Lonchura striata: one gene and its partners. The protein of the gene in region 2 interacts with the protein of the main gene of each other region in a pairwise test. Links are inferred from orthologs where the notes say so. Each region holds a gene or a part of one and is shown on either strand. Other genes may lie near its edges.

The links.
Region 1: the proteins of HPGDS (region 2) and MELTF interact in binary tests that used the Homo sapiens proteins (3 or more experiments, as listed by UniProt). The two-hybrid records come from large-scale screens. The link is inferred for Lonchura striata from reciprocal best matches to the Homo sapiens genes HPGDS and MELTF.
Region 3: the proteins of HPGDS (region 2) and ABHD17A interact in binary tests that used the Homo sapiens proteins (3 or more experiments, as listed by UniProt). The two-hybrid records come from large-scale screens. The link is inferred for Lonchura striata from reciprocal best matches to the Homo sapiens genes HPGDS and ABHD17A.

Annotation. Positions count from the first base shown.
Region 1 is NC_134612.1:14,897,975-14,908,619, forward strand, and holds the start of MELTF (melanotransferrin), read right to left. Parts: upstream 3,795-10,645; 5' UTR 1-3,794. Other genes in the region: DLG1 (disks large homolog 1), read right to left, coding at 5,539-5,645, 7,023-7,114, 7,472-7,581. UniProt on the Homo sapiens protein: Involved in iron cellular uptake. Seems to be internalized and then recycled back to the cell membrane. Binds a single atom of iron per subunit. Could also bind zinc.
Region 2 is NC_134606.1:51,676,034-51,686,454, reverse strand, and holds the start of HPGDS (hematopoietic prostaglandin D synthase), read right to left. Parts: upstream 4,841-10,421; 5' UTR 4,769-4,840; intron 1-4,768. UniProt on the Homo sapiens protein: Bifunctional enzyme which catalyzes both the conversion of PGH2 to PGD2, a prostaglandin involved in smooth muscle contraction/relaxation and a potent inhibitor of platelet aggregation, and the conjugation of glutathione with a wide range of aryl halides and organic isothiocyanates.
Region 3 is NC_134630.1:2,612,730-2,623,464, forward strand, and holds the start of ABHD17A (alpha/beta hydrolase domain-containing protein 17A), read right to left. Parts: upstream 4,380-10,735; 5' UTR 4,323-4,379; intron 2,251-4,322; 5' UTR 2,049-2,250; coding exon 1,744-2,048; intron 394-1,743; coding exon 199-393; intron 1-198. Other genes in the region: AN1-type zinc finger protein 5, read right to left, coding at 9,550-9,698. UniProt on the Homo sapiens protein: Hydrolyzes fatty acids from S-acylated cysteine residues in proteins. Has depalmitoylating activity towards NRAS. Has depalmitoylating activity towards DLG4/PSD95. May have depalmitoylating activity towards MAP6.

The DNA of each region.
Region 1 (10,645 bases), on a different chromosome or scaffold from region 2:
TTTTTCAGCCTCAGCATTCTGATTTTACATAGAGACACACAGGAGGTAAAGCATCAAAGTATGAAAAAATCATTAGCCATACACCTGAAACATAAAGTTCTTTTAGCTCTGTATTTCAGCCAAAATAGTGAAACGGCATGAATCCATTGGTTTTTTTCCTCACTCATCAAAACCAAGTGTTTATTGGTCCCTTTCCAAATTGCTGAATTTTGTTCTTAGAGGAAAGTCAGATCTGGGCAATATCCTGGCTTCTTCCTTACAAGACAGCCAATCTGAAACGGGCTTGAGCACAGGTAAGGCCTGCAGTTAGCCTCTTCCTACTGCCAAGGAAAACCAGCTTAAAACATCAGGTCAATGTCTGAACCCAAGGTTATTCTCAATTTTGGCCCTTCTGTGTATCAGTAGATATATATATAAAGCTTAAAAAGGCAGAAGCTGGAAACTTCCATTTGAAATATGCTCACAGTCCTAGCACACCTATAACTATCACTGACAAACATCCCAATAGCTCCTCAAAGTAATGATACCACATTGTGTAACATCAAATAGCTATTTATACAGCTACTACTACAGTATCAAGGGCTTTCAACAGAAGAAAAAATGGAAAAAAAAACAGAAATTAACTGGGACCATTTGTTTTCTGAAGAACTGAAGACTGCTTCAGAAAAAGTGCTTACACCTCTTGTGAAATTACAAGCACTCACCAATACAATTTGCGAGTGACAGGAGTAAGTCAACATGTTGCACAGAGCGCGAGAAGTGAAATAAAGCAATTATTTCTATTTTTATAAAGTAAGTGTTACAGAACTGTTCATCGTTGTGAAAAACAGACACCACTGAACCAGAAATTGATTCAGTGCTGGGGAAATACAACATTTGACACCAATGAGTCAAGATATATACATGATGTTCAATGCAGCCTTTCTACTGCTTTTCTATTACTTCAATCTGTTTATTTTCCTGGCCATATGAAATTAGCTCTAAAGTGGTTCTAGTTTCCTTCTGCTCACATCACACAGAGTTCCCATGGCACAGCAAAAGCTTTTGGAGGGCACTTACCAGCATGAAAGAAGAGAAGATAGAAAACATTTCTCAAGCTCTTCATGGTGAAAGTTTTGGGATCTGTGATTTCTTTTTCAGCCTTCAAAATTCCCAGAGATCAAGGCTCCTGCAAGAATGCTCCCTCCAGCCTGGTTTTAGGTGAAAATCAGTTGTGTTCAATTGCAGTTCAATGCACTCTGTTCAGCAACAAGCCCTGCTTACCTCCGCATGCCTCACCTCGTAAGGAGTACAGGAAAAGAAAGCTTCTCCTCACACTGCCTGTACACTTGAAAAAAAATATCAGACCTGGAAATTGCAACATATCTGCGGCACCAATGAGGTCACTACTGCCTTGGCACCACCCACAGACTTCATTCACTAAATTGCTACACACCGGCACACGGGGGTGGGGTAGGGCTGTGGAAACACATCCTTGCTCTGTGGTCTGTGTATTCCCTATACCTGGGGCTCAGGAAGCAGGAGATTCAAGGGAAGCAGTTAATCTGGCAGAGTAGACAGTCACTTGATGCCACATTCTCAGCATTGTCAAAAATTGCTTAAAGCCATCATTAAAAGCCCAGGCTCTTAAAACAGCAAAGCCTGTACACTATACAGGTGGGTACAGCACATGCCAAGTGCACATTTCCTGAAATTTAATAGCAATTGCTATAAAACAGCTGAATCATTCTGGCTTATTTTAAGGTTTAAGAGAAGGCCTAGGAAGGATTCTCTCCCAGAAAGAATCAAAACTGCTGACACTAGCTCTGTTAAAAGCTGCTGTGAACTTTAGTGTAACTTCACAGAGCAATCCTCATTTGTGCTGCCTTTTTATTAATTTCTTATTAGTCAATGAACTGCAGCTGCCTGTAACACTTTGCTTAGATAAAAGCTGCTCAGAAACAGAAGGGCTGTGTGATGTGAGTCCTCACACCCAGGGAGGGCATGAGCCACGCAGCTCTGTGCATCCCCCTGTAGGTCCGGGAGTGTGGCATGATGCCTCCAGCACTCATCAGCTACCTGACTGCAGTTTGGCAACTCTGACTACACCTGTAAGACAACAGCTGAGTTAATTAATTGCTATTTCAAGTTTAGAATTGCAAAAAATAGAGAATGATCTCTCCAGACTTTCTTCCCAAACAAAGCTTTATGGTTGAACTCTTGGCTCCCTAGACCGTCTGGAATTAATTGTCCCTTTGCTGTCTGAAGTGTTAAAGAATAACCCGGTACCACTGGAGTATTTCCAAATGTTTTCAAGGACCCATTGCTCAGATCCTTCCTGTGCCCTTCCTACTGGCCAGATTAACATCTGAAGCCCTCTCTCCCTGATGTTTGCAGAAGGGTTTACATTCATATGGAGATGACAAGACCGACAGTCCTAGTACCAGTTACTTAAGACTGCAAGGGCAGGATTAGTAAAACATGAACCAGGTACCAGGGGTCTCCTGTGGATCCTCTAAAGGAATGGTTCAGAAGGCAGAGGAGCAGCCTTTTTGTACAGGAGGTCTATTCCAAACCCAGCCCCCTCTAAACAACCACACAAGCACAGTTTGTCAGAATTTAAGTAATTTTTCTATTTGATTCTTAACTCTTGAGTATCTGTGCTTTAAGTTTCTTAACCCAGTTTTCAGCACAATTCAGCAAAAATGCCAACAAAGAAATAATATAACTTACAATAATAATATAGGGTAGCAAATACTTCATCAAACATGTGTCTGTATAGCAATTACAAATAGCTGGTTTATCAGGCAGGAAGAAAACCCACAATGCCTTCACTCGGCCAGCAAAAGAGTTGTAATACAGCAGTATGATGCCATTTGTATTTCCTAATTACTCTAGTTGTTAAATTAGAGGCCTTTAGCAAAATACACATATTGTAAAACATAACTCTAAAACACAGAAAAGTGTACCCAAGAATCAGAAGATATATCAGTACTTGATGCTGGAAAAATGAGACCCACAGAAACACTAAGTAATGCAAAACCCTGACAATTACACAAGTTAAGACAACAAGGAGCATCAGGGCTCTCAGAATCAACTTTTCTGCCAGTGTTCAAAGGTAACACTGGAAACAAACAAAACTAAAAACACAAAGCAAATGCTCCAGAGTCCTTTGAGATATCTTGATCTGAGACTTGTTTTCACACCCGCAAGGCTGCTGTGCAAGGTAACTGCTGCGGACTTCAGTCAGAGTGTGTTTGGTGACACCTGGCTACTACAGGACAAGTGCCTGGGGGCAAAGTTCCCCGACAGCTGCTCAGACACTCCAACACATGAAAGAGCAATTCCTCACAGACCTGCTCAGCTGAACAGGGCTCTTTCTGATGGGTTAAAAAAAAGAGGTAAAAAGAAGTGTATACAATGCAGAGATCTCAGATGTGTTTGCAGATTTGATATATTCATATCCTTCTGTTTTTTTTTTTTTTTTTTTAGAGTTACTCTTTTAAGATGTCTCACAAGACACCTCAAACAATCAATCACTTTCAAAAACACAACAGTACACTTCCAGCTGTCTTAAAAATTTATGACATTATTTATCAATTTGCATCAATCTAGTACACCATGCACTTTCATGGGCAGGAGTTCTTAGAAAGGCAGCACACCTGATTTCCCAGATCTTGAGAAGCAGAAATTCTTCTGGGGCATGCACCAGCAGCTTGAACTTCCTGTAAGCTGCACTAGCATCCCATGTAACATCAGCAATAATTGTGTCACAAGTTTAAACTTGCTTTTAATGCATAACTTCAGTAGCCCCAAGGTGGCCACCAGTGTTTCTCTAACACCTGATTTTTGTTTACAGTCCCAGTCAATTATTCTAAAGTGCTACAACACCTGTATTTATCAAAATTAAAAACACACTTGACAAATATATTGTACAATAAAGTTTATTAGCTGTTCTCCTCTTTCTAACAAATGGAATGGATAGTGTTGATAATTCTTTACAAACCAAAGCTGATTTGGTTGTGTGGGGATTTGACTGCCCCATGACTGTCATAAGTACATCCCTCTAAAAACAATCAGTTGCAAACAAGCAATGGCAGGTACCAGATAATACGGGAATTAGAGAATTTCATTATTGAAGGTTTTGGTACAACGTATTCATAACATTCAGCACAGAAGTTTGTGCATTGCAAATGGAAGATCTTGTGCCTGTGCAATCCGAGACGAACACGTACAGAAAAAAATATATTGTTGACTCTGAATTCTCCCTTTGGTTAAGACATGCATATTATAAAGGGGACAGAGGAAGACAAACACCCAGAATTGCGTAGAAAAGAGGAGAACTTGCATGTATTTTTTTCTTGTACTAATATTCCCTGGACTTCATGCCCAGCTATCACAGCCCATTTGATTTTTCCGTGATTAAGGAAGGTAAATTCTAATTTGTTTTTTTTTAATTTTTATTCAAAACAAAAAGCTAGGAGTAGGTGGTAAAAGAAAAATATATATTTTATATATATATTTATACGTGTGCGCAACTATGTAAAGAAAATAATTCCCATAGTTACAGAGTTTAGTTAAAGAAAGTTTAATATATATATATATTTATTATAACAAAATAGGCAGTTATTGTGGGTAAAATATTCATTAAAATCTGACCCCTAAGAACACACACATCTTTAGGCTATGAATCATTCTCTCATTGCCCTAATGACCATCTCTGCAGCTGTTTTCTGAATTATTGCCAATGCAAATTTGGCATTCCTCTGAAAAATACAAGGTTTCCTAGCACCTAAACATATTTTTAGGCTCAAAAAGTGTGACGACCATTATCTATAAAGAATTTCTGTAATACACTATAAATAGTGTTTCATGAGGAAGATTAAAAACATTACACATCTTTGTCCCTAGCAATTTTATTGGCAAAAAAATATGAAAAAATAGATTTTAAGAATATCCATATGAAATTATGAAAATTAATATCCCTTTAGGAGTAGTAATGGGACTTAATGAAAATGCTAACTCAAAATTTAAAAGTTTCTTTCTAACTGCCTGGAAAGAAAAAAGATACCGTGACAATAGGATTGAACTCAAAATAAAACCTGAAATTGATTGCCCTGACCAAACCATGCTATTAAAGTTAAGCGTGCAAAGTTACTCATAATTTACAACTTCCTTGAATACAACTTTTCTTTCAATTGTTATGAAATTTTAAAAGAATGTCTATAAAGCTTTTTTGAAAAATCTTTGAAAGTTACTTTCCCTTAAACATTAAGGAATTTTACCCAGCAATTCCCTCCCACCCCCACCCTAAACTAATAGCTGGTCAGGCCATTCCACTGTCATGTTTGAAAAATGGCAAACCAACAACACACAATAATACAAATTATTTAAACTAAGAGAGACACCAAATGTAAAGCATTATGGGAACTGCAGAATGTGATGGTTAGGGTATGAACCACGCTGGAAAGAACTAGAGGCAGGCTCCACTGGAAGGGCTTAAGAGTCGTCAGATGTAGTAGGTGATGTAGTTAGAAAATGAAAAATAAAAATCTGTTTTCATAATTTTTCCTTTGCTGGAACCCAGATGTAAGGACCAGACTGTTCCTCTATGATCTGTTTCACTTGGTTGTAGATTTCTTCCAGAGTGTCTCCCTGGACAATAGCTGCAAAATATAATGTGGAAGTCAGCAATCATCCCTCCCATTCCGTGCAGAAGCCAGGCTGCTCCTTCCCCTCCGAGTGGCAGGAGGATTTCCGACTGCTGAAGGAACAGACTCCTGTGGACACTCCTGGTTTCAGGGCTGGACTGAAGCAAAGTCTGGAGGACACACAAAGCACTTCCTTGGGGACAGGAACAACCTTTTCCTAGACACAGGTTCCAATTTGCCTGAGCCAATTCACATCCTCCAGTATTCTTTTTGGCCCAACTTTCATTTGTGTTTCTAACACAAGGCACGACAGTGCAGGGCTGTGTCCTCACAGGCTGGTGAACTCCTCAGCTCTGTCCTGAAGCTGCACAGCAAGGCAGGCTGACCTCGAGATGTCTACCTAGCTCTACCTCTGCCTTTGGCTAAAAAAAGGAGGAACTCATGGAGTTTGTTGTCCAGAGAACAGATTCAAGTTTTATAGACAAGAGGCTTCCTTATACAGTTAAAAGTGCAATCTATACTCATTCCTATCATGTCAGTTGATATATTTTTGCCAAGGCTAGAAATTAACTAGAAATTAGCCAATATGGATGTGTTTTGACATATCAGAATAAAATATGGTCTGGTGAAAATGAAGTTTGAGCTGTTCTTACCAACACTTCAGCCTGGAAAAGCAATCACTGTGAGAAAGCAACTTCTTTTTAATTAGTGTCACAATCTCAGCATCAATAATCCAAGAAGTAAAGTTTAACATGAAAGACAGTTTTGGAGGCAGGTCAGACTCACTCTTCTGTGCATTAATAGAGTAGTGCTGCTTCTGAGATTTGCTTTTGTGCAAATTAGTTCCCTTTTATTCCTACCATTCCATTCTTATCTCTTAAAAACCTTCTCCCCATCTGCAGCTCAATGCTGTACTGCCTGTGGGAGGAGGCTGCTCCATTGTTACAGGCCAAGTATAATGTTCACAGCACAACAGTGCATGAGAAAAATTAGAAATGTCTTTGCAAAGCAAATAGGCCATAAGCTTTAGTATCTTCTCTCCAGCTAAGTTCAACCACACCTCTTCCAAACCTCAGTAACCTCAAAGTTGAATAAGGATGTGCTTTTTTTAAGTCGCTGGAAACAAAACTTGCTGATGAAGCTGGAAAATGTCAGAAAGTCTTAGCGTTTTTAAAAACTAAATTAAGCTCCCAGTAAATTTTCGTCTATTTTTTATATTAACTGATCAAAGGAAAATCAGTGTAGAGATATGAAGATAGCTCTATACCTCAGAGTAATCACAGATCATCTGAAAAACAAAGCTCCCTATCTCAGTGGTTAGGCAAGTACTATTTTTACAGCAAGCCATAAAATTTCAACTCAGGCAAGTGAGCAGTCACAAGCAAAACACACCTGTGAAGTGTTCAGTAAATTCTTGCTCCAGTTTCGTGGCCCTCTCAAATGTCTTCCTGGCTTGCTCTTCCGTTAAGCGTTTATTCATTTCCCTGAAAGTGCAAATATTATACCTTTTTAAAACCAATATAAAATACTTGGAGTCTTTAAGGTTTTAAACTGTTGTTTGAATATTAATCCTAATAAAAGGATTAAATCCTAAAGACACCAAGCAAAGACTGTAGTGGAAACTGTTCTAGCATTATGTTGCATGGAATTGAAACAATTTTGTTTTCAAGCACTTTAATTTGGATTAGAAGCCCCATCTTAAAGTCTCTAAAAATTAAATTCAGGGAATTAAATAATATTTAAAACACACACATTACAATTGTCTGCATATAACTTTCAGTTGGCTTTTCAAATACAACAGTCTCAAACAACTTAGCTTGAGGTACTTTATTTTTACTCACATTATATTTTCCACTGTTTTGGGTTTAATAAAAATGGAGATTGGGTAGAGCTGGGCAATCTGCAACCTTTTGATCGCATTACCAGAAACATCAAGAATGCAATGTTTACCCTAAAAAGTGAGAGAGAAAGGAAAATGGCACTAAGCAAAGTTTAAGTCACAAGTAGCATAGTATAATAATTAAGAAGAGAAAACATGTCTCCACTGAAAGCAAGAAAATTAGAATATTTGCATCAGTGGTACTGTGATTTTCACCACTGTGGCACAAGGTCCCCCAATCTCCTCTACTGGATCACACATCACCTTTCTTTCTTCATTCCTTTCTTCATCACAGCTTGCAGCCCAATCAGCAATGCAGAACCATACAGTGGAACAGTTGGACTTCAACTATACCACCAAAATGTTTTATTTTGCTTTGCTTTGGTACTAATTTGAGGATGCTTTACGGAGGTGGCCATGTCACAGATGTGGTTTAGAGAGGAGCCAGATGACTTAACTGGCACACCTGAGGAAGTGCCCACCCCTGTTGACCTGGAAATATGCCACCATATTCAGGTGGAACTGCACACCAGCCCTCTCCTCCCCCAGGTACCAACCAGTAAAAATACAACATTGGAGATGGCGAATGCAATTTATTTGTGTTGATTTGTCATTCATCTCTTGAGAAACAAGTATCCCTTGCCCATTCCTTGGGCACCTGGAAGACAGTGTGATAAGGTTGTTTTCCTCCCCGTCTCTATTCTCCCACTAATATGAATTTTCCAACTTCTCCTGTTCTCAGCAGCTTTCATCTCAGATATGCTCACTTCCACCTCACACTCTTTTACTTCTTTCCTTTCTGAATAGCATAGGATTAATTTTGCATACTGTCTGAAATTACTGACATGCTTCTGCTTCCTGGCAAAAGAAATAACAAGGATCATTTACATTTGATCTCTTTCCCACAAAATCAGAATTTTATTTCAGGAATTTTTAAAGAGCAATGTTCTTCCCACATGAACAACATATATATCTGTTTGCTTTCAGCTAATGGTAGCTGTTTCCCATTTCCAGTCCATGGATCTGGATGCCAACTGGCAACATTTAAAAAAGATGTATGTCCTAGCAGAGTATTTTACATGTGCTGATCTGTCCACATCTTTAAATGTGGCACATGCTCCAAGAACTGAGAATTAAGAGCATTATTTGAAAAAGAATAAAGGACATAGTAAAACACTATTTGCTGTGTTTGGCCCAACAGCTTTAGCCAGGAGCCAAAGGATGGAAGGCTAGAGAGCCAGCACAGTACCTGTGCTGGACCTTATGGGATATAACCATGACAGTTTATTCCAAATCAACAATGACTGTGTATTAACTGTAGCCTTGAGACAGAGATTTGCAAACTGCTGATAATTCCAAAGGAAAGAGGGTATGAAGATTCTTTCCAAGTGAAGATTTGAAAGACAAGGAAAAGAAACACAAGTACATTGTGATACAAGCATGTTTTCATCCAGGGAAGCTATTTTGCTCTTTGCATACTGCATTTAGAATAATATTTGATATATTTTAGTTCCTTTATTGCACTGCATCTGTTTGAGAAGCACCACACAGCAGCCAGTGCCTTCTATAACTGAACAACAGCATCAGAAAGCATCTTCAGCTGTGCCCATTGTGAGCAAGGAAATGAGAGAGACAGGGATCAGCTGGAAGCATGGGCAAATGAACACAACTGAAGGCTATTTTAAGAATACTGTTTCTGGTTCTTTTGGGGTAATAGCAGTCACTTGTGTTCTGTCTTCTCCTAAACTGATTGCAGAAAGTTTGGAAATCATCTTTTGTATCCCAGCAATAAAACCCACTGAAAAGACTGATCTTTTCAGCAAGATGGAAAAGAATACAAGGGTGGGAATAGTTTCAGATCAACCAGTATGCAGCCCTGCCATGATTTTGAAGTACAGTTCTGAAGGACAGACTATTGTTTCCCAGAAAAATAATGTCAGCTGCAACTAAGAAATTGCTGCATCTACCCAAAGTCCGTGGTGCCTGTGCAAGAGATTTAACTGCTAATACTTTGTTCTTTGTGTCCATTTATGAAAAGTTCATAGCAATTCTGTACCTTACTAATCCCCACAGATGGGCAAATAAGCAGAGCCAATTTCAGGTGCAGGATGGAACTGAAGGATAGTATTTGTGCTACCAAGTAAAGCAACTGCCAACAGATTTATAATGTTTAAGCTATTTAATAATTTCATCATTTAGCCACATATGATAGTTTCACAGCTTTGTTCAGCCTCCCATACAAAACACTGTGTATTTACTTGAACAATTCTGTAATTAATATTCTTTTCTTTCCTTTTCTCACTATATCCCATGGGGCCAGGTTCCATTCCATATGGTGACAAAGACAGGAGAAGGAAACATCACTTGCCCCACAGAATCTCACTGTGTTTGCCCTTGTTTTGCTTCCAGTAAATTCAGTTGCCAGAAATAGCAATACTCAACCATTTGGTCAAAATGGTCTACAGAGTTTTCCAGAGGACTGAACTACAGCCCTGTGGCACATGGGTTACTACCCACACTTACTTTCTGCATGCGCAGAAAACCCTTTTGAGTTCCCACCTAGAAAATAGCTGGCCCTTCTTTCACAGAGATCAGAGAGAACTGGCTACTGTAAATGCACTGGATTCACCAGCAGCAGAACAACACTCATCAACTCAACATGGAACATTTGCAAAAAATTTTCACCACATGATTTCCTTTAAGACAAGCACTTTACTCTCAGAAATACACTTCCCTTTTCCCACTTTTTTCAGACAGATCAAGACAACTTCAGTAAGACTTTAGAAATAATTAGAATTTGCAAGAAATAGTTTGAATCACTTTGGGATAGAAAGTGATAGTAGGGTCAATCTTCAAAATACATGAATAGCTATGGAAAAATACATTTAAAATTGAATTCTTTACATTTACTCTCTTCCCTTTGTTAGCTAAAACCACAAGGAGCACAAAGAACAACATTTTTGCAAGTTTTCTTTTGCACAGGTCTATGCCAAAAGGATCCTCATATTAATTAACTCCACCAGCACTACTCCTCATTAATGATCTGTATATGTGAGCTAGGCTAATTAGCCCATAATTCTAATTACTTCTTCTATTTTCTCTTTAAATGAAAGGACACATTATGGTTGCCCTTTTC
Region 2 (10,421 bases):
AGAAGCAGCCTTGCCCTGCCTGTGGGTGTGCTGCTGCTCTCCTCCTAGTTACTGATCAAATTGGTTGCTGCAGGAATGTCTTCAATTTTTTTTACCTTGAATGAAAAAATATTACAGGTTTAAAAGATATTTTTCAGCTTTTGAAAACCAAGAATAGTACTGATTTAATAGTTTTGTCTTGTTTTTTTTTTCCCCACAAAATATGTCTTTATTAGTTCTTTTTTATAGCAAAGAGAATAAGATATTTTCTGCCCATCCTTTTGGAAGGATTAGATAATATTGGCAGATTGATGGAAGACTGCAAGTCTTCGAATGGAAGATTTTCACAGCAGTCTGTTTTGACAGAAAATAAAATTAAAAACTCTAATTCTATTTGCTGTCAGCTCTCTTTCTGAAAATTGATGGTCTCTTTTCCCACTCTGGTCCAGTTATAGAAAATAAGCATATGAAATTGATAGCTTATATTTCTAAGCAAGATAGCAGTCTGGACCTCGGAAAAAAAAGCGGAAAAAAAATGTGCACCCTTTTCTGTTTAATACACAAATCATCTGAAGTGAATGTTTATGGAATTTTATGTAGGGTCAACTTTTGAAATAATAAATTCCAGATATAACGGATACTTCTTAGCATGATTTTCAAGATTAGATACCTGGATCACTTAGAGCATAATACAGATTTAAATTCTTTTTTAGAAGGATTTTGCATGTGCATGCACCTGCTGTGTTGCTTATTTGTGACCTGTGGGGGAAATCAGCATCCTAAAATGAGAATAAGTTTTAAGGCATTACTGTTAGAGTATTGAGTAGCACTAATAGTTATAACTATTTCAAGTGACCTGATGTGTAAAACTGTACTGTCTAAGCAAAGCCTGATTTGTCAATATGTGGGCTTTAAAAAGAAAGGAGCTGTAGGAGACCTTAAAGCAATTATCTCTCCAATGATGGTTCAGGCCTGATTTGCTGATGTGGAAATTCAGAACCCAAAAAAGTCCTTCAAGAACACAGAAAAAAACCACTAGGTTTTTTGCTGGTTTTTTTTTTTTTAGAAAAATAACCACAATGTATCAGTGAAAGAGGAAGATAAGAAAGATATGAAAGGTGGTTATTTTTTTTTAAGTGGTGGTTATTTTTTTTTTAAGTGGGAGTCCAGTGTGAATGGGCAGTGAATGGATGTCCACTCTCAAGACTTGTTGAAGGAGAATGCCAGACCCCACTGGGTTTCCCTGAGCTAGTTTGCGATTGCCCCTCAAGTAACTACAATCAAACTGATAATAATTAATTCAAATATCTGAAGTTCACTCTGTTTGTTTGAACTGAAGTGAATGAGGGAGGTCTCACATGTCAGCAAAATTAAGGAGGCAGGGAAGTGGTGATGGACTTGGCTTTGCTCAGCCACCTGAGCAGCGTGTCCTCAGTCTGCCTGGCTTGCCACACCCTTCCCTTTAGGGCTTGAGCATCTGTGGTGACTTTGCTTTCTCTCTGATTCTCAAGCTTTGGATTTGTATCACCTTGTTCTCAGTTTTATGTAGGCAACTTTTGAAATTGCTTTGTGCAGCCTCTTTTAGATGAATAAATTCCACACTCAAGACCATGAAATACTGGTAAATAAAATTGCAAGATATCTCAGGAAAGATGCAGGCAAAGCAGTGGTTAGGATCCTTTCTCAGGAAAAACTACTTAAGTCTTATTTCCACATCAGATGTTTCAAGAATTCCCAGAAGCATTTTGTGGTAGAACAAGAGCCTAAATAATCTTGATGTTTGCCAACCCCATGTCATTGCTCTAAAATTCATGCTTTGCATCTCTCTCTGCACTCTTCAGATTAATCAGCATGACCTCATAATATTCTTACAAAGCTCAGAGCTCAGTTGCGAGCAGCGTAGCTCTGTATTTTTCAGTTGGCTCTCCAAAGGCAGCTGCTTTTTGCCAGGATGAATCATGTCCATTTTCTGACCTCTCAAGCCTGTCCAGCACAAAAATTTGTAAAACAACTGTTTTGGTCGCCTAACATATTTCCTTGGATGTGCAAAAGTGGTCTTTTTTCTATCCCAGGAATGTGTGGGAGTGAGTGTGTGTTTAAGTGCAAGAAGGAGTACAAGCACCAAATCCTTCCCCCTGCTTGTCTAAACTACTTTGCTCTTGACCTGTTGCATATGGTCAATCTACTGTATAATTTACTAAAAACACACCAAAATTATAGGCATGAAAGAATTAGGTAGGTTTTTAAGCACTGTATATGACCCCTGTAGCAGGTACAGATTTGACTGGAAAAGGTATTTATTCACTTTGCAGAATTCTCCAGTACCACCTACTTCATGTCCTGGTCACAAATTCCTGCTGCCCTCCTGCTCTGCCCTGCAGTGCCTGGCACAGACCACCGTGCCTGGGTGGCACCAATACAGTGGGCTGGGGCACAGATCTCAAGTATTTTCAGATAGTTTGAAATTCTTTTCTTAGCCAGAGTGAGCCTGAGGAGCATTGCCAGTCTCCTTGAGAGGAACAGCAGTGCCAAATGTAGACTTACAATTCTGAGCAACACGTAGCCAGAAGCCTGGGGACCACCCAAATTTGGCCACAAGTGAGAAATTTGCAGTTTGAGACACAGTCACAAATTGCTTGTTATGTAAAACCCTAATCTGTGTGTTCCTACACTTTAGTAGAAAGTACTTTCTGAGAGGCAGTTTGCTGCTAGTTTCTCAGGGAAACCTTTCATCACACATCAACTAAACTAAGCCTGTGAGACAGCTTAAACCTTTGTTTCCCTTCCCTCTTTGCATCTGCTACAACTACAAAGCATAGTACACTTTGCCTGGTATCACTGAATGTCCTTGTTTTCTCTCCTTTTCCATCTCATGCTTATTCTTTACTAAGTAATTTCAGCAATATTTTTAGTTACTTCTAAAGAGATTCAAAAGTAGGTGTTTCAGTTTTTCCTCAGTTCATTGTAGCTTGTTTTCTGGGAGTTTTAGCAGATTGCCTTGCGATCAAACAAAGTTCTTCAAAGTAGAAATGTATATGTGGGATTTGGCTTCTTTTTTTCCCCCTTATTTTTTTCCTCACACTTCTAGGACTAACTGTAAAAAGGGTAAAATAATCACCTGTTTGAGATTTGCAGCATATATGATATGACAGGTGTGAATAAGCATAGCTTTCTGTGCCCCCTGCTAGCCCAATCAGCCTCATCAGTGGCTCCTGGGCAGTGTAATTACTTTCTGGTGAGATTTTGATCTAGGATATTTTGAAAATGAGCACTAGATTCAACTGCTCCTGCTTTCCAGCTGCTCAGGAGAAGGTGGGATAGACAGCAATGACAAATGTTATGAGCAAACATAATAGCTTAGAGCACCAGAGCATGTTGGGCAGTGGCATAGGAGCATGCTGCACTAGCTAGCATGCTTGCTGGTGCAGGAACCAGAAATCTTTTAAGAACCACTTTGTGTATATTTTCAGTTTAAAAGTTAGAGAGCTTCAGTCTTATTTCTATACAAATGGATTTGACTGTGTGCCTGGGCATGTGTGTGTCTGCTGCGAGGAATAATTTACACAATGTGCACTTTTTTAGGGAGAGGTGGATTCTGTTTTGGATTAAATAAAACAAAAGAATGAACAAAAGTAAACTTAAAAAAGACCTCTGTGTCTTTTTTTTCTTTACAAATGTTGCAAGTTTTAGTATAAAAGTACTTGTGTTTACAAACAGTTGTAAGGAGTACAGAAGCCCGGGAAAGATACTTTTATAGCTACGGTTTGTTTGCTTGGATAGTCTGAAATGAACAGGGAACAACAGACTGCTTTTAACAGAGGAAATGTGTGTGGGAGGATTATGTATATAGGAAAATGACAGCAGTTAGAATGAAAGAAAAAAAATCCTCAATGCCTATTTAGACTATAATTTTGAAGTAAAAAAACAAATAACAAAAAAACCTTCAACTTTGATAAGGAGAAAAATTGAGTAAGTGGAGTCAGATGCAGGAGATTTTTACTCTATACAATGACTGTGGGAATTAAGACCAGAGTATGTTAATCCATTGCTTTAGAACACAGGAACTTGAAAAATGAACAGAACAGGGCACAACAATGACCTAGAATAACTGGTTGGTGCTGCTTAAAATTCATCTAATTTCTCTGACATTAGCCTAGATTTAGCTTGGTTATGTAAGTGAAGGCATTTTAGTCAGCCTTTACCTCTAATGGAATATTGGCTTGAAATAAGTTTCCACTTATTGAAAACTCTGCAGAATTCCCAGAGCCTCCTCACTCTGATTTCTTGGCAAGTACCTGACACATAGCCTTATTATCGAAGTAGCTCAGCACTGACTGAGCAAGGACGAGGAACAGGGGCTTGGTTGTACAACAAGCCAGTGATCAGCCTGTTTGCCTCTGGAAAAGCAGCTCACAATTTGGAGTGAAGTCTGGTTTTAGCGTTGCACGTGGTCGTACAGATGTCCTAAGTGCAGCAGGCAGAGGTGAAGGATGCCTGTAAGCGGCAGAGGAGGCATAGATGAGGTGCTTGAGTTACACTCACGGCCACCGTGTAGCGCGCTGCTCTCTATAGAGCGCTCCTCTCTGCCGGTAGTACCAGCCGGAGGGCCAGGCTGGATAAACCGAGCAAATCTCAGAAAATCAAACGCTCTCAGGACGTGCTCTACACGTAGCATAACTTGACAGCCTGACCTCGCTCACAGCCGCTGTAGCCTAGGGAGGGCAGAGTAGGATGAGAGAAGCAAGGGGAGAGAGGAGCAGGGCGGCAGCAGAGCCGAAGCAGAACTCACTCGGTGCGGCGGTGCGCGGTCCCTCCTGCTGCCCCGGAGTCCCGCCGAGCGCCGACCCCGAAGAGGCTGCGGCGCTCGGGCACGGGCTATTAATACACAACCATCCCCTCCCATCGCCGCCTGCATGACTCTCCTCCCCCGGCCCGCACTCACACGGTATCTGCCTTATTCCTGATAACCAGCGAGTTTGCTGACTTGGGGATGGCAGAGCGTACTGAGTGCTGGAATTTCTTGGCTTTCGCTCAAGTGTAAAAGTGCTATTTGAATAGATACAATAAAAATAAGATAGGCGTTGAGGAGTCAGATGATGGGTGCTTTTTCTAAATGTAAAATGTGTGGAACAAGCCAAGTAATGTCTTTTTTAGATTATTTTTAACTAATGTGAAGCCCATGCTATCTGATCTTTTTATAGAGGAATGCCTCAAACAGCTGCAAACAGAGACACTCCACTCCAGCACCAGAAAACCCAGAAAAAAACACTCCAAAATGCCTCACCATCAGCACAAAAAAAAAAAAGCCATCTCCTAAGCCTTTTACATAAAGAACCAAGTGTGATTTAAGTTTGTGATTTTGGTGGGTAGGTTATTTGTTATCAGTAAAGAAGGATTTGTGCAAACTGTGTCTGTGAGTAATGCACATTTGTAGTTATGGCTGTCATGCTGCTGCTTCTCATCTACAGTGGATGTTGTGCTTTTCTGTTTGTTTTTCTTTCTCCTTTTCATTGTACTTCAGCCTTAACAAAGTCCACTTGATGTTGCTCTGCTTTGCTCTCCTCTGAGTATGGGACCAGAATGCAGCAGAGTTAGAGCAAAGGAGCAAAGTTTTCTGATGCTGTAGTGCAATGTGTGCCACACAAATCTGCTCTGAGGCTTTCTTCACTTTGTGTCAATAAACAGTTGTGTGTGTGTTCCCTGCAGCTGCGAGGAATGGTGCTAACCAAAGCACTGTGTCCTGGCATGAAGTGATAGATCACACTCTTCAACTTTTGCTGCAAGCCAACTCATTTTCATGTAATTCATGCTTTTCCCTGATGCAAACAGCTGAGTTTTCAGAAACCAACAGCCTTTACAGCTAAGAAAAGAATTATAAATAGAACCCCAAAGTGTCTTCTGATTTGGACTGATGTAGACTGAGTGATAAACCAAATTACTGAGGCTTACCTTGGTGGTGGGCCTTCCATGCTTTCAGATTTGCCTTGGCTTCAGGTTCATTCTTTAATGTTCCTTTTCTCCAGAATGTCAACTTGGAGGTGGTGGTTTCGAGTGGATCCCAAAAAGAAAGTTTAAAGTGCTCTAACACCATATTTCATCAGTTTTTTATTGTTGACTTGTGATAAAGCAGCCTATATGAGGTGAAACAGTTCCTTCAGTTGCAGAGAAGTGGTTTGAGACTTCTTCTTCATTTCATTTACAGAAAACTGAAGGAATATTTATGGCTCTAAAGCTAATGGAATTTGATACAAACTTTTTTATAAATGTTTGCAAATTGTAAGCAGCTAGGAACTTTTATTTATTTTAATTTAGAGCAGAGAGTGGAACACAGCAGCATGTTGTGGGATTTGGTTCTCAGCCTTCTCAAAGGGAAGCAGAAGGTATTATTGTCCAGGAATTGTTTTCAACAGACAGCAGTTTACTTCTACCCTAGCAAGGTTACCAGCAAAAACATGGTAAAGCATTAGTAAGCACACTGGTAATCTAACCTTTGATTTCTCTGTGAGCCATTTAATGAGTTTAAACTGTACCTTCACTCCAAATGTTCCATTCATTGAGCTGGTATAAAACCCAAGTACTCTTCTGTGCTACAATTATACCTTCAATGACTGATGAGCTACTGAAACACCCTTTTTTCCTTTGCTGTTGGAAATCTTTAATGTAGATCAGGGAGAAAAGATTTGCCTGTGACAGGAGTGTGCTGGGACCACGTTTTTTACTTCCTGTTTTGAGTGGGTAACTGAGTCCCTGTCCAGTGGAAGTTGCACTCAGGCCATGCGTTATTCCCTCCCGTCACTTCTGCTCTGAGCACCTTAGGGTCTGACAGGAGTGTGGGTATGCAGATAGTGGGATTGACAGCTATCACTCAAGCTGAGTACAACTCATTACATGATCAAGAAGTAGGCTCTCCTAAAGAAAAAGTAATTCTTCTTTCCACCAGATTTGGCTCAATTCATGTGAATTATCAAATAAATTTCTCTGCTTTCTAAAATGGGAAGTGATTTGTGCATACGATTTCAAAATAATGAAGTTAGTAGTGCACTGACCTGATCTAACCTTGTTTCCATTTGCTGATGATTTCTTACAGATTAAGCTCTCCCTTTCTGTTGCCCTTTTGGCCTGCAACTGCTGATGACGGCATGAAAAATTGGCTGAACTGCTCAATGAAGCGGTCAGGCTGGGACTGTCTATCCATCTGTTACATGAGGCTCCTTGCCTAACGTGTCTTTTACCTCTGTCCAACTTCTGGAAACCTCAGAGATGGGAGAGCGAACCAGTCAAGACGGTGATGTATTAAATGAAGCATGTGTAAAACCTGGGTGCAGAGATATCCATTCATGTCCAATACCTTTCCTGGGAATGGCAGCAGGGGCCCTTTAATGGCAGGAGCTGCAGTCAGATGTCTCAGGACTCAGCAGTTGACCTCTTGCCCTTTTGGTCATGGAGCAACATAAAGGTTTCTCATGGTCAGCTGAGCCCCATGACCAGCTGTGGGTGTAATTGTGTGGAGTCAGTGAAAGGATATTTTCTATGTGTTTTACACAGGGAAGTGAGGACATTAAGTCAACGACACATTTCCTTTCTTGGTCAGCATGGGGACTCTCCTTGTGGTTTGAAAGCCCTAGATAAATAAAAAGCAGAGGAACTCACATGGATTAAATTTAAATCCAAGATTTAGTTCAGCAGATGTCCCTTTCAGGGCATTCACAGGCTATTAGGGGATCAGTGCACTCCAGGCAGATCTCCTGCTCCCTGACTTCTAAGAGTTGAGGGATCCCTCTGCCTATTGACTTGTGGCCAGAACTTCCCCATCTCTTCTGTCCAGCTGCTGTTCCACCTTGTGCCTGGGAACTGATGTTTAAGCAGAAGGTTTGAAACAAAATGTAGCACCTCATGAAGATGCCCATATTCTGTTGCAGGTCTCTGTGGTGAGATAGCTTGCTTACTCATGTGCCAGGGAAAGCAGCCACGATTCCTGACATCTTGCTTTGGGAACAGTAAGAGGCCAGCTCCCCAGAGCTGAAATGGGAGTAAGCACAGAAGAGAGAGCTGCCATAGAGCAGCTTTTTCTCTGCTGGGAAGGAAATTCCAACCATTTTTTAAGGTGAGTTGACTTTTGCACTTCAAAAAACATGGCCATCCCATCACTAATAACCTGCTGTTAGTGCACCTGTTTGTGTGTTCAAGAGAATAAATCCACCCAAGTCAGAAGTTTCATTGTAAACTTAGATATGGTCATCATGTTCACATCCTTAGTAATTTCCTCACCTACCTCTGCCTTGTTTGTTTTTTAAATTATGGTGCTATACTGCTGTTAGAGACTTGAGCAAACTAGTATAAAATACAGGAAGTGAACAATTACAAATTTCATCATTTTTAAGCCACTTAAGGAGGGATATTAAGTCTGCAAAATGCTAGACCTGCAAAGGCACTTGCTCTATTATGTGTATATGTAATAGAGTTCAGCAATTTGCCTTCTCTTTTAGCAAGCAGTAAATTCAGCCAGAAAAGTATACCTATAGAAAGACCTAATGTTGGACTTTCATTGCTTAGGTTTGCAAACACTTTTGAAAAAAGAAATGCTGGGGGGAATATTGAAAGTATGAGGTATTTATTTTTTTTAAAGTCGATGCATTTAAAGTTTATTGGGAATTAATGTTTCTGTTGCCTATTTTCTTATTTGAAATATTTAATATTTGAAAATACCATCTGTGTCAATATAAGCATGTTTCTATATGTGTAGCTTGCTCTGCTCATGCATATTCCATTACATTTTTAATGATATTTTGTTAAAAATATATAGAAGAGTCACAAATGCATTTAAAAGAATTTATCCATTCTTAATCAAATATCCTTCCAGTGTTACTGTAGCTCTAGTAAAAGGCCATGCTTAATGATCAATGAGATCATTACACAAGTAATAATGAGATTTTCTTTTGAAGTAGAGCAGCTTAGAGAAGTAATCAACTACAGACATGCTTGCAATTTTGGGGTTTTAAGTTTAGCTGATCACTTTTATTTTTCCTCTGTTCCGGGAAGCAGGGAGCTTTTGTGTGTACAGTGAAAAACATCAGCTGAAAGATTCATCTTCAAGTTACTACATGGAGAGCCATAAGGAGCTGTCAGACACACTTCTTCATTTTTGGAAGTGGTCTCTTGTCTTTATTCCTAAGTTTATTCCTAAGATGCACAGCTACAGGTGTTTTTTTAATATGAAAGACCCTGATCCAAAGTCCAGTGAAGCTGGCATGAGGACTTGTGGGCTCTCATCTCAGGGGCTGGTTTTGTCCTTGGGAATTTGGGCAGGCTCATAATGGCTCATTTAGTTGGAGCATTTGGAATTGTCTTTTCTAGTGTGTTTGCCTCAGTCCTGAGATAGTTGGCAAATTATTTGCTTGATCTTAGCACTTCTATTTATGAGAAACTGGCCAAAGCTTAAAATGCCAGTTTCCCTATGGAGTGCATTTATCCCAGTAGCTTTTCTACCTTAGCAGAGGACATTCTTCCCAGCTCATAGGGAGTTACATGCATACCTGACAAATAAGTTAAAATTGTTGATGAATAGCCAGAGAACTCATCTATTCAGAAGATGCAGTTCAGCACAGAGACACTGAATGGAAGTCTTTGGTATGTCAGCTGATGGCTGACTGCCTACCCTTTGAGGTCTCTATACCAAAGCTTTGTTTCCCATTACATCCTGCAGAAACTTGTCATGGAAATAAAAAACCACATGGCCAAGTCAGAGCCAAACAGTTGCTTTTCTAATTTCAATTCACATTTTGTTATCTCTGTTTAAAAGGGAAGGAAAAGATAAGAAATAAATAACTGTACAAGTTGCAGGAGATAAAAGAGCTTTGTTCCTCATTTTATTAATGTGGTCAAAGTACTGATGAAAGCTGGGGATGCTATCTGCTTACTTGGAAAGATAAATCATGAGGTTTCACCCCCTTGTGGGCCTTGCAATTGTATCACGTTGCATGAACAACTACGTAAAGGAATCAGATGTGCTTTATGAGCTGGAGAATAATCTGTGATTCACAGAAGTAGGTCAATACAATTAGTGAAATGTTAAGACTCATAATGTAACATGTGATGTCTGCCTGAATCCATCCACATCAGTTTCAGCAGGGATAACATTAGACAAATGTGTTACTTAAGCAAATTAAAGCTTTTAAAGGGAAACCTTCTTAAAAACATGAAGCTTGTTCATCTCATGTACAAGTACTGGACAGTCCCACTTGTAAGCCCCCAGGGAGCCCTGAGCTGGCAGCACAGGATCTGTTTACAGATATGCCCTTAGAGGGATGAAGGAGGAGAAATCATCCACTTCAACATTTTGAAATTTGAGACTTCTTAAAAAAACCTCAATCTTTTCATGCTGTCCTTTGTGATTTCACAAAATGAATCCAGCAGGGACTTTCCAGAACCAGCTGCTCTAATCA
Region 3 (10,735 bases), on a different chromosome or scaffold from region 2:
GCAGAGCTTGTGCCAAGGTCATGCCCCGCAGCATCCCTGCCCCTTGCATCCCCCAGCTGCTCCCTCTAGAGTTTTCCAACAACCTCTTCCTGCCTCAAGCGGCCCAGGGTTCCCCTTCTGGGAGATTTCCTGTTTTCCTGCCTGCTGGAGCACAGGGTTTTCCTGAGGCCAGCAGGGCGAGCTCCCTGCCCCGCTCACCGTGTGCGCAGCGCCTGCCACGCGGCGTCGATGTCGGAGTAGAGGTTGCGCTCCGAGGGCCTGCCCGTGCTCACGCCGTAGCCCGAGTAGTCGTAGGAGAAGATGTTGCAGTTGATGCGGGTGCCCAGCCCGATGTAGAAGCTGCTCATCTGGCCCAGGTCCACGGCGTTGCCGTGGGAGAAAAGCACCGTGTACCTGGGACACGGGTACGGAACGTTAATCCTGGGCTCTGCCGCCGTGCCGGAGCTCCAGCAACCAAACCCCGGGACACGAAGGGCCAACACCCCTCCAGCCACCTGGTGACACCCCCAGGGACACCCAGACCCTCCTGCTGCCAGAGCCAGGGGCTCGCTCCCAGCAGGAACAGGCAGCATGAAGGCAGGATGATGATTCTGTTCAAGTTTTTGAGTCTATTTTTGGTTAAAAGCTCAGGATTTGGGGCCGTTTGCCCAATGGGGATTTCAAGTAAGAATTCTGACAGCAGGTTTTTTCTCTCCTGAGCCTGGCAAGACACCAGATGCTGAGAGAGAAGTGAATTGTGGGAGTGACAAGGCACAAGAAATTACCACCATAAGGGGAAAAACAATGTTAATCATAAAAATTAACACTAATAGCAGATTGATGGGAGCCTGGCTCCCTTCTGCCAGAGGGAGGGAGCAGGACCCACTCCCTGCTGAGCCCCTGCAGCTGGTCTGAGTGGTCTGTGGCCAGGCTGAGCCTCCGATCCTGGCCTGGATGCCCAGGGAGCCCCAGCTGGAAGTCAGTGACAGGAGGAGCTGCAGGAAGTCAGACATCCAGCAGCACCTGATACCCCACGGTTTGGTAGGCCTGGTTTCCCCCAGCCCAGGTTCTCCCCTCCAGCCCTGCAGCCTGGGATGCTGCTCTTTGAGGACCTGTTTTTCCTGGGAAGACACAGCAAAGGGGTCAGCTGGGGTGACCTGGCCTCCCTCTGCACCTGAACCCCCAAACTGTGCCACTGCTCAGGGAGCAGCTGCCAAGTCCCCTCCTGTCTCCTCTGCCCAGGCAGTGGCAGCAGGAGGGGGTCTCCATCTCACACCCCAGGGTGCCACTGACCCACGAGAGTGACCAAACCCCTCCTGGCTTTCACTCCTATCACTCTTTTCCTTGAGGAACCAAAAGTCCTTGTGAATTTGACTAAACCAGGTTCCCCTGGCTGGCAGTTGCCCAATCCCCATGGTCACCGCAGGGCTGGGGATGGGCAGAAGCAGCTGGTGCAGCCACCCTGGTGCCCCCTGAGCACCAAGCCCTGAGCAAACAACTGGAGCACTGCAGGGGACTGTGAGACAGCCTGGGGAATCCCCACACCCCTGCAGCCTCTGGCTTTGCCTCTGCTCCTGTTTAGACCCACTCCCAGTGCGGCCACAAGCCGGACCGGTCGGGGAGCCCAGCTCGCCCATCCCACCTGACACCTCCAAAGCAGGGCCAGCTCCTCCAGCGAGGCCCAGCTGAGGGGGAAAAGGGGACAGGAGCCCCCAGGGCAGCCCCAGGGCAAAGCAGTGCCCCAGCTCACACCCAGTGACTCACCTGGCGCCGGGCACGCAGCGGACGTACATGCAGCCGACGCGGTTCCCCCGGCTGCTCTTGGTGACGAACACCTCGATGTTGTCCAGCTCCCGCTGGGAGTACTGGAAATCCGCCCGCTCCTTCAAGTGCAGCTTCCAGCGGCCCGCGGCGCCGCGCAGGGAGCCCGTGCTGCCCACGGGCTCGGGCTCGGGCACCATGGCGTAGGTGGGCTCCGGGGGCAGGAAGGCGAGCTTGGCCGCGATGCGGCTGGGGCAGGGCGGGCAGCAGAAGAGGCAGCAGAGTTGGCTGATCGACAGCCCGTTCATGACGGCGGCGAGGCGGGAGGGGAGGCGGCCGCGCCCGGAGCGAGGGAGGATCCCAATCGGACAGAGGCCGGCAACGACGCCGGGCCCGGAGACGCGCCGTGCTCAGCCGGCCCGGGGCACGGCGGGCGCCGGCCGTGCAGCGCGGCCCGGGGCGGGCGGCGGGGCTGCCGTGTCCATCGGTCCGTCCGGCGGCGGCGGGGGCCTGCGGGCAGGCGGCGGCTCTGAGGGCTCTGTCACCCACGGCCGGGGACAAACGTGCTCCCCGCAGTGTCCCCCCCCGAGCACCTCTGCAGCCCCCACCCAGCACACGCAGCCCCCGCGAAGTCCCAGCTCCTGCCACATTCGCCAGCCCCCGCGGGCAGCCCACGCGGAGGGGGCGAGGACAAGAGCAGGATCCCACACACACCACCCCCACAGCAGCCACACGGCTGATGGGACAAAGAACACCCATCCCCCGGGGCCACCTAGGCGCTCGGGAGTGCCGAGCTCCCCGGGAAAAAGGGGAAAGGGGAGAGGAAGGGGAAAAGAGGAGAGAGGGGAAAAAAAAAAAAAAACGCAACTATTTTCTGCAAGTTTGGGCACAGGCTTGAGCTGAGGAATGTCAAACCAGCCCACACCCCGAGGAATTCGCTCCATCTGCTTCCGAAGGCCTGGGAAAGGGGAGGAAAGGGTGGAAGAGGGATATGGCACTGAAGCTGGGATATGGCACTGAAATATGCCACAACACTGTGAGCGAAGGGATGCCCCGTGCCCCGGTAGGAGCCAGGCCCCCTCGGGCCGGTGACCATCCACAGCAGGGCCAGGGCCGGTGCCACACCTGGCACGTGGCAGCCGCGTCCCTCCCAGGTTTGGCACTCCCGGGGAGTCCGGTGGCCTCGCACCTGCGTGGGGTCCACGCGGGGAGGTGGCACCAGGGGCCACTAACACCGTGTGTCACACGCACACGCTGGGACAAAGCCAGGCACCGGCCGGGGACACCGCGTCGTGGGTGGCCAGCCCCGCCCGGCCCCTGCCCTCGCCCCACGCCTGCTGTGGGGCGTGACCCACGCACACACGCCGACCCCACACCCATCGAGGGGGGTCCGTGCTGTACCCAGCCACTGACCGCTGTGCGGCCCCCACCATGGACTGGTGGGTGCTCCCCCCTCCTCTGACAGGCACGGGACCCCCACCCCACACACGCTGAGCGGGCTGGGGCTGTGGGACCCCCACCCTGACCGCACAGGGGCTGTGGGACCCCCACCCTGACCGCACACACATTTCCCTCCATCGCCTGCTGCGGGCCCCCCCAGCACGGACCCCTCCCCCCAACTCACCCCCACCCCAGAGCGGTGAGTTCTCCCCCTCCCTGTCCATCGCGGCCGTCCCACCTTGCAGACGGGAATGGAGACCCCCACCCCCACTCACACTGCCCCTCACTGATCGCTGAGGGACCCCCAAACACACACGGAGCAGTGGGACCCTCCCCGATCACTGTGTGCGTGTCCCCACAGCCCCACCGGGCCCGTGTAAGTCCCCAGACCCCTCCCGACCTCCTCCATGAGCCCGGGCTGGCCCGCGTGGCTCTGCCCCTGCCCCGGGCCACGCCGCCCACCGGGAGCCTCTCCCGCCTCTGGGGGGTTTCACACACCCTGCCCGGCCTGCACCTCCCGCTGGGGGGGTCCCACACCCCCACCGACCCGCGTGGGCCCCCCAAACCCACACCGACCACAGTGACCCCCAAACCCTCACTGACCACAGTGTACCTGGGACACGGGCACGGAACTAACGTTAATCCTGGGCTCTGCCAGCCGCAGCTCCAGCACGGATATCCCCGGAGGCCAGCAACCAAACCCTCACTGCCCACTGTGTCCCCCCAAACCCTCACTGCCCACTGTGTCCCCCCAAAACCTCACTGCCCACTGTGTCCCCCCAAACCCTCACTGCCCACTGCGTCCCCCCAGACCCTCACTGACCACTGTGTCCCCCCAAACCCTCGCTGACCACTGTGTCCCCCCAAACCCTCACTGACCACCGTCTCCCCAAACCCTTACTAACCGCCGTGTCCCCCCTCACTGCCCACTGTGTCCCCTCCAAACCGTCACTGACCCCCGTGTCCCCCCTCACTGACCAGCACGGCCTCCCCCGCGTGCCGGGGCCTCCCGTACCTCCGGCCGCGCGGCGGGACCCCCCGCTGCACGCCGCGAGCGCCCGGCCGGCGGAGCCCGCCCCCCGCAGGCTGTCCCCGTGCCGTGCCGTGCCGTGCCGTGCTCGTGTGCCCCCGAGCCCCGGTACCTGCGCATCCCCGGCCCCGCTGCCGCTGCCCGAGGCCCCGCGGCCGCTGCGGCCTCCCAGGCGGGGGCGGCGCTGCCCCCCCGGCCGGAAGTGACGCCATCGCCCCGCGCCCGTTGCCATGGGAACAGCGCGGCGCGGCCTGGCCTCGCTCCCGCGCCCCAAAATCCCAAATGGCGCTGGGAGGCACCTCTGGAGATCACCCAGCCTGGCCTCACTCCCCCCCCAAAATCCCAAATGGCGCTGGGAGGCACCTCTGGAGATCACCAGCCCGGCCTCGCTCCCCCCACAAAATCCCAAATGGCGCTGGGAGGCACCTCTGGAGATCACCCAGCCTGGCCTCACTCCCCCCCCAAAATCCCAAATGGCGCTGGGAGGCACCTCTGGAGATCACCCAGCCTGGCCTCACTCCCCCCCCAAAATCCCAAATGGCGCTGGGAGGCACCTCTGGAGATCACCAGCCCGGCCTCGCTCCCCCTCCAAAATCCCAAATGGCGCTGGGAGGCACCTCTGGAGATCACCAGCCTGGCCTCGCTCCCCCCCCCAAAATCCCAAATGGCGCTGGGAGGCACCTCTGGAGATCACCCAGCCCAGCCTCGCTCGCCCCCCAAAATCCCAAATGGCGCTGGGAGGCACCTCTGGAGATCACCCAGCCTGGCCTCGCTCCCGCGCCCCAAAATCCCAAATGGCGCTGGGAGGCACCTCTGGAGATCACCCAGCCTGGCCTCGCTCCCGCGCCCCAAAATCCCAAATGGCGCTGGGAGGCACCTCTGGAGATCACCCAGCCCGGCCTCGCTCCTGCAGCGGGTGGGCTTGGAGTGTCTCCCGAGGGAGGCTTCACCACCTCGCTGCTCAGTGCTCTGCCACCTGCAGTGAGAAGCCCTTCCTCACCTTGAGGTGGGACTTCTGGTGGTTTAGTTTAGTTTATGGCCACTGCAGCACTGAAAGGAGCCTGGTGCTCACGTTGGAGATGTTTATGCGGATTGGCGAGATCGCCTCTTGTTGGAAAATATACCAAGTTTAAAATTTTTATTTCCTAACTTTAGTCACGCTTGTTTGCCTTGGCCCCTTGTTCGCCTTGGCCCCGGGGCATGGGAAGTTTCCCTCCAAAGCATTGTTCCACCAGGAGCAATGAGGAGTTCGGGGCTGAGAGCGGCACAAGAGATACACAAGAGATAAAGGCTATGAAGGGCCACTGGCGAAACATCTGCCACCATCTGCTCCACACCTGCCCCCTGGCACGGCTGGAGACACCTGGAAAAGGCCGATAAGGAAATGCAAATTAGGAGTGAAGAACTAGGTAACATCAGAGGCCAGGAAATCCATATCCAAGAGGAAACCAAGCATTAAGAACTGCACAAGTTGGGACCAATGAACATTCAACCGATGGATTTTTCTATGGGTTTGGGACCGTATAAAATTTGACAAAAATCTAGGAGTTTGAGAAAAATCATGGAGCGCGGTCCCCTGCGGCTGAAGGGCAGCGGGGGCTCCCTGGGGGCCGGCAAGCGGGAGAAGAAGGCGAAAGACAAAGCCCAGATCCCAGAGCAGATCCCGGGCAGCAAGGAGCAGCAGCAGGAGGAGGAGGAGAAGCGCGGGCTGGACAAGCGGACCCCGGCGCAGGAGAAGCAGCAAATGGAGCGGATCCTGAAGGCAGCGTGGGAAAGCCGCAAGCAGCGAGAGGAGGAGTCCAGCAGGCACAGTGAGCACTGCCACATTCCCAAAGTCAGCGGCACGGAATGAACGGGCTGCTCGGCACGGCTCCGGAGCTGCGTTTGGTTTCTGTCAATGTCAGTCTGGCTGTTCTCCGTAGTTATATTCTTGAGTTTAACTTCTGAGCTTTTATGACTTCATAATGTCTTATAGTCTTTTTTTTTTTAAAAAACCAAACATCCAACACTCTCCGTCTACTCTGGATTAACCAAGCCCAGCTCCCAGTGTCTCTCCTCACCAGAAGCTCCAGGCCCCAAATCACCTCTGGGGCCTCCACTGGACCCTCTCCAGTAGCTCCTTGTCCTTCCTCTCCAGAACTGGACACAGCAGCCCAGATGTGCCTCACTAGGGCCGAGCAGAGGGGCAGGATCCCTCCCTACCCTGCTGGCCACACTCCTCCCGATGTCCCCAGGGTCCCAGTGTCCCCCTGGCCCCAGGACACTCTGCTGCCTCAGGGACAGTTTGTCATCCCCCAGGAGCCCCAGGCCCTCCTCTGCAGAGCTGCTCCCCAGTGGGTCACCCCCAGCCTGTGCTGGCCCCTGGGGTTTGTCCTCCCCGGGTGCAGGACCCTACACTTGCCCTTGTTGAACCCCCTTGGGTTTGCCCCCTCCCAGGCCCCTCTGAATGGCAGCACGGCCTTCAGGAGAGTCAGTCACTCCCCTGAAACCTGATCAGTCCATTCTATCCCCCGCAGGTTGCTACACGAACTGAGCAGGGCTGGAGCAGGCACGGATCCCTGGGGACTCTGCTGTGCTTCCAGGCCCCTCCGAGCTCTGCACTCAGCCAGGCCCTCCGCACTCCATTTTCCCACATCTCCCGTGTCCACCTGCAAAGATGTCACGGGAGGCAGCGTCCAAAGCCTTGCTGAAGTCAGTCCTGGTGCCAAACACTGCCCAAATGCCCCCACGTGGGGAGGGGGGTGGCTTTGGGGGCCTGTCCCAAACTCCCTTTCCTGCCCCACGGAGGTGACAGCAGACAGGAGGGAACCCGGGAGAACCTTGGAGCCCCTCAGACCCAGCCAGGGCTCCCTACTGAGCCAAAAGGCAAAATCCCAGACTTGTCAGGGCTGAAGTGACCCCTGGAGATCCAGCCCAGCCCCTGGTGGAGTTGAGATCAGGGGGGTGCAGGTCTGGGGTGCTCTGATCCCCAGCCAGCACCAGGTACTGTGAATGATCATCCACAGGGAAACTGAGGCACAGAGCCCCACAGCCACCCCAAAAGAGCCAAGCCAAGCCCCCCAGGCATCCTGCCTGAAACAAAGCACCCACAGCATCCAAGCAAACTAGACTGTGTTGTATTTACACTCATGGACAGGGAGGGAGGAACAGGGAAAAGGGCGGTGCTGGAGAAGCAGGTGGCTGTGGCCTTTCCCAAGGATCCACGGGAGCTGCTGCACTTCTTCGGGGCTGGTGGCCAAAATTCCTGCATCCCCTGAGGGTGAGGGATCATCCTCAGCCAACAGCTGGGCCAAACCCAGCCTGGCCACCACCATCTCTGTGCTGGCCCAGGTGTGTCCAGGGCTAACACGTGCAGCCACTTGCATGCTCCAGACATGTCAGTGTTATCCAGAAGGAAAAACCTGAGGAAAAGGCTGGCGAGAGGCAGCCTCACTCCTCTCTGTGCTGCAGGGGGGTTTGCAGCAGTTTGGGAGGTTCAGATGCTGCCAGCAGCAGCACAGGATGGCAGCTGGCACAGAGCACACGCTGCTTTGGCTGGAGCAGACTGCAAAAACCAAACACTCCAGCACCTGGGCAGAACTGCCACAAGCAGGGCAGGAAAACAGCCTTTGGAAGGAAGGAGCTGCTATGGTTTCCCCCAGCTGGGCCCTGCAGCTGTGCTGACACCAAGGGAAATGCTTCCAAAGCGTGGGATGGCCAGCAGAGTGGGACAGAGGCTGCTGCTTGTCCCCCGGGACACATCCGGGTTTCTCTGCTTGAGAAAGCCAGAGTTCCGTGGCCACAGCCCCGCTCCTGGTGTTCCCAGGAATCCCCTGGGCATGGAGGCCGTGGCTGTGCCCCAGGAGCCTCTGCCTGCCTTGTGCTGCACCCCTGAGCCCCAGGTCCTCCCAACCGAGCCCTCCAGGTGCTCTTTCTGGAGTGGAACTGAGTGGCATTTGGTTTTTCCCACACCTCCCTTCCTGTGTGAGTGCGTGAGAGCAGCCCTAGAGCCTTCCACGTGCCTCTTAGGGTGCTTGAGGCCTCTGAGCGTGTTCACTGTACCCCAAAGCTCTCCTTCTGCCTTTCCTTGCACCCCGGAGCCCTCCCTGGGCCTTCCAGCACCTCAGGGAATTCTGAGTCTCAGTGAGCCCAGAGGCCTCCAAGCACCTCTCCCTGCTCCCTGGGTCTCTCCATGGGCGTTTCTGAGCCCCCACTTGGACATCTGGGCACCCCAGGACCCTCCTCGTGACTTTCCCTGTGCCCCAGTTCCCTCTGTCTGGCTTGCAGAGCATCTCCTGGGGACCTGGCCCTGCCTCTCATCCCACAGGGAGGGAGGAGGCAGAGGAGGGCAGCTGGGTGGGCTCCCCGAGCTCTCCCCAGTACCAGCATGGCCCACATGGGAGGAGGGGACCCCACTGTCACCTGGGTGCAGGGACAGGTCCAGAAGCAGAGGCGTGGGGACCTGAGCTTTGTGCACAACCCTGATGAGAGCGACTCGTGTAAGGCAGAAGGCAGGGAGAGAGGAGAGAAGGGAGAGGAGAAAGGGGAAAGAGGGGAGAGAGGAGAGCAGGCACAGGCAGTGCTGAGGGACACACACCTTGCTGGGAAAGCAGCCGGGGTTATCCAGGGGTGCTGAAGCAGGAGGCTGGAGCAGGGGTGTCCCTGGCTGCCTCCCTGTGAGAGAGGCACAAGGCAGCAAGCAGAACCTCCTGGAAGGTCCTGCCCTGCCCACATCAAGCCACAATATAACTTCCCTGTGCCAGCATCACTGCTCAACCCCCTTGGTGCTTCTCCAACAGCGTCAGCAGAGGGTGGGGAGAGGGGTCTGGGGTGCTGAACTACAGAATCAACTTTTGTGCATCTGAGAGCAAACACCTCCCGGGGAGCAGACGGCAGCCTGGCTGCCAGGATCCCCCAGCTCCCGGGACTGCAGGCAGAGGGAACAGAGTCCAGCAGCTGCTCGGGGACTGCAGCCACAAGCCCTGGGTGCTTTGCAGGACTCGGAGCCGCCGGGAAGGGAAAGGCTGCCCGGCAGAGCCCGGCCGCTCATACTGCCCGGCAAGAGGCAAGTGCCAAGGTCTTAGCGCTGGAGCAGCGGGGCAGGACGGTCCCTTTTCCTCTGGGAAGCTGGTTGAGAACACATCAGCTGAGCTGTGGCTGTCGGACAGGCAGGAAGGGAGAGGAGGAACACCAGCTGACTGCCAGAGGTGCGAGGAGTCCCCGTGTCCAGGTGCCGGTTTGTGAGCACTGCTGGAGTCACCCTCGCACCGCCGCAGGGGCTGGGAGGAGGAGGAGGAAGGCCGGGAGGAAGGGGAGGAGCACCAGGCGGCCTGGCTGCAGTTCGAGCTGCTCGGACCCCTTCACAACTTCTGGATCTTCTCGGCGATAACGATGGGGTTTTCCTTGCGGATCTTCTCGGCAGCTTCTGCCTTGTAGTCGTAGGGGCAGGCGTGCATGTCAGAGTACCGGTGAATGGCACAGAACAGGTTCCCGCAGCGGCAGTCGAAGCCTGAGGGGAGGAAGAGCGGGGACAAAGCCACATGAGACCCCATCCAGCAGAGCAGGAAGGCGTCAGGGCCTGGCTCCTTCCTGCCACGCCAGGAAATGCCACCAATGCAGAGAGAGGGGCAAGGGAGGGTGCCTGCTGTTCCCCACAGGCCAAAGGGACTCTTCATTTGGGGAAGACCATGGGTGGCTCTTTGCTTTCCTCTGGCTCAGGAGCTCCGTGTGCTTTGGGCAGCCCCAGCTGTCATGTGGGAAATGCTCCCAGAGCAGCTGCTGTCCGTGCTCCCTGGGGACAAGGGACGTGCCAGGCACTGCAGAGTGCCAGACTGCTAATCCAGACCAGGCTCCCCAGGCAGCCCGAGCTGGAGCTCAGCCCTGTGAGCCAGTCCAGCTCCCCAGGGACACACAGCAGCAGCTGGACTGACCAGCAGCAAGCAGCAGAGCTGTCACCACCTTAGGATCATGTTTGAGCTATTTAGGCTTCAAAACTCCCACTTTAGTCACTTCACTCTGAGACAATGCTCAGAGTGCTACCATTAACACAGCACACTGGGAAAGCAAGGCAGGGAGCGAGCAGGGGATGTGCTGCAGGACAGCAGGAAATCTTGCTGGCAGGGAATCATGCTCTGTCCCTTCATTTTTTTCTAACTACAGGCTGTAAAGCCCACCAACACCTTGCTCCAAGGTGCCAGTTTACTCCTGGTTGAGAAAACTCATTTTATCCTAAATGCCCTGAATTCACAGGAATTCTCTGTAAGTTGAATCCTAAAGAAGAGAACTTTTCATAGTTTAAAGCTTGTAAGGAAACCCTCATTCAGGAAAACAATCCTCTCTGCACCCTGAAGGCTGGGCACAGAGTGCCCAACCCAGATCCAGGTTTATAAACCCACCCCCTATTCTAGGACAGTGCCCATGGATTTCCAGGCAAGCTCAGGTTCAAACTTTCCAGTCTAGACTTTGCCAAAGCCTCTTATAGCCATGAAAACAGCCAGTCCCTGGCTGCTGGATGCCCCAAGCAGGCTACAGAAGCAAGTGCTCTGC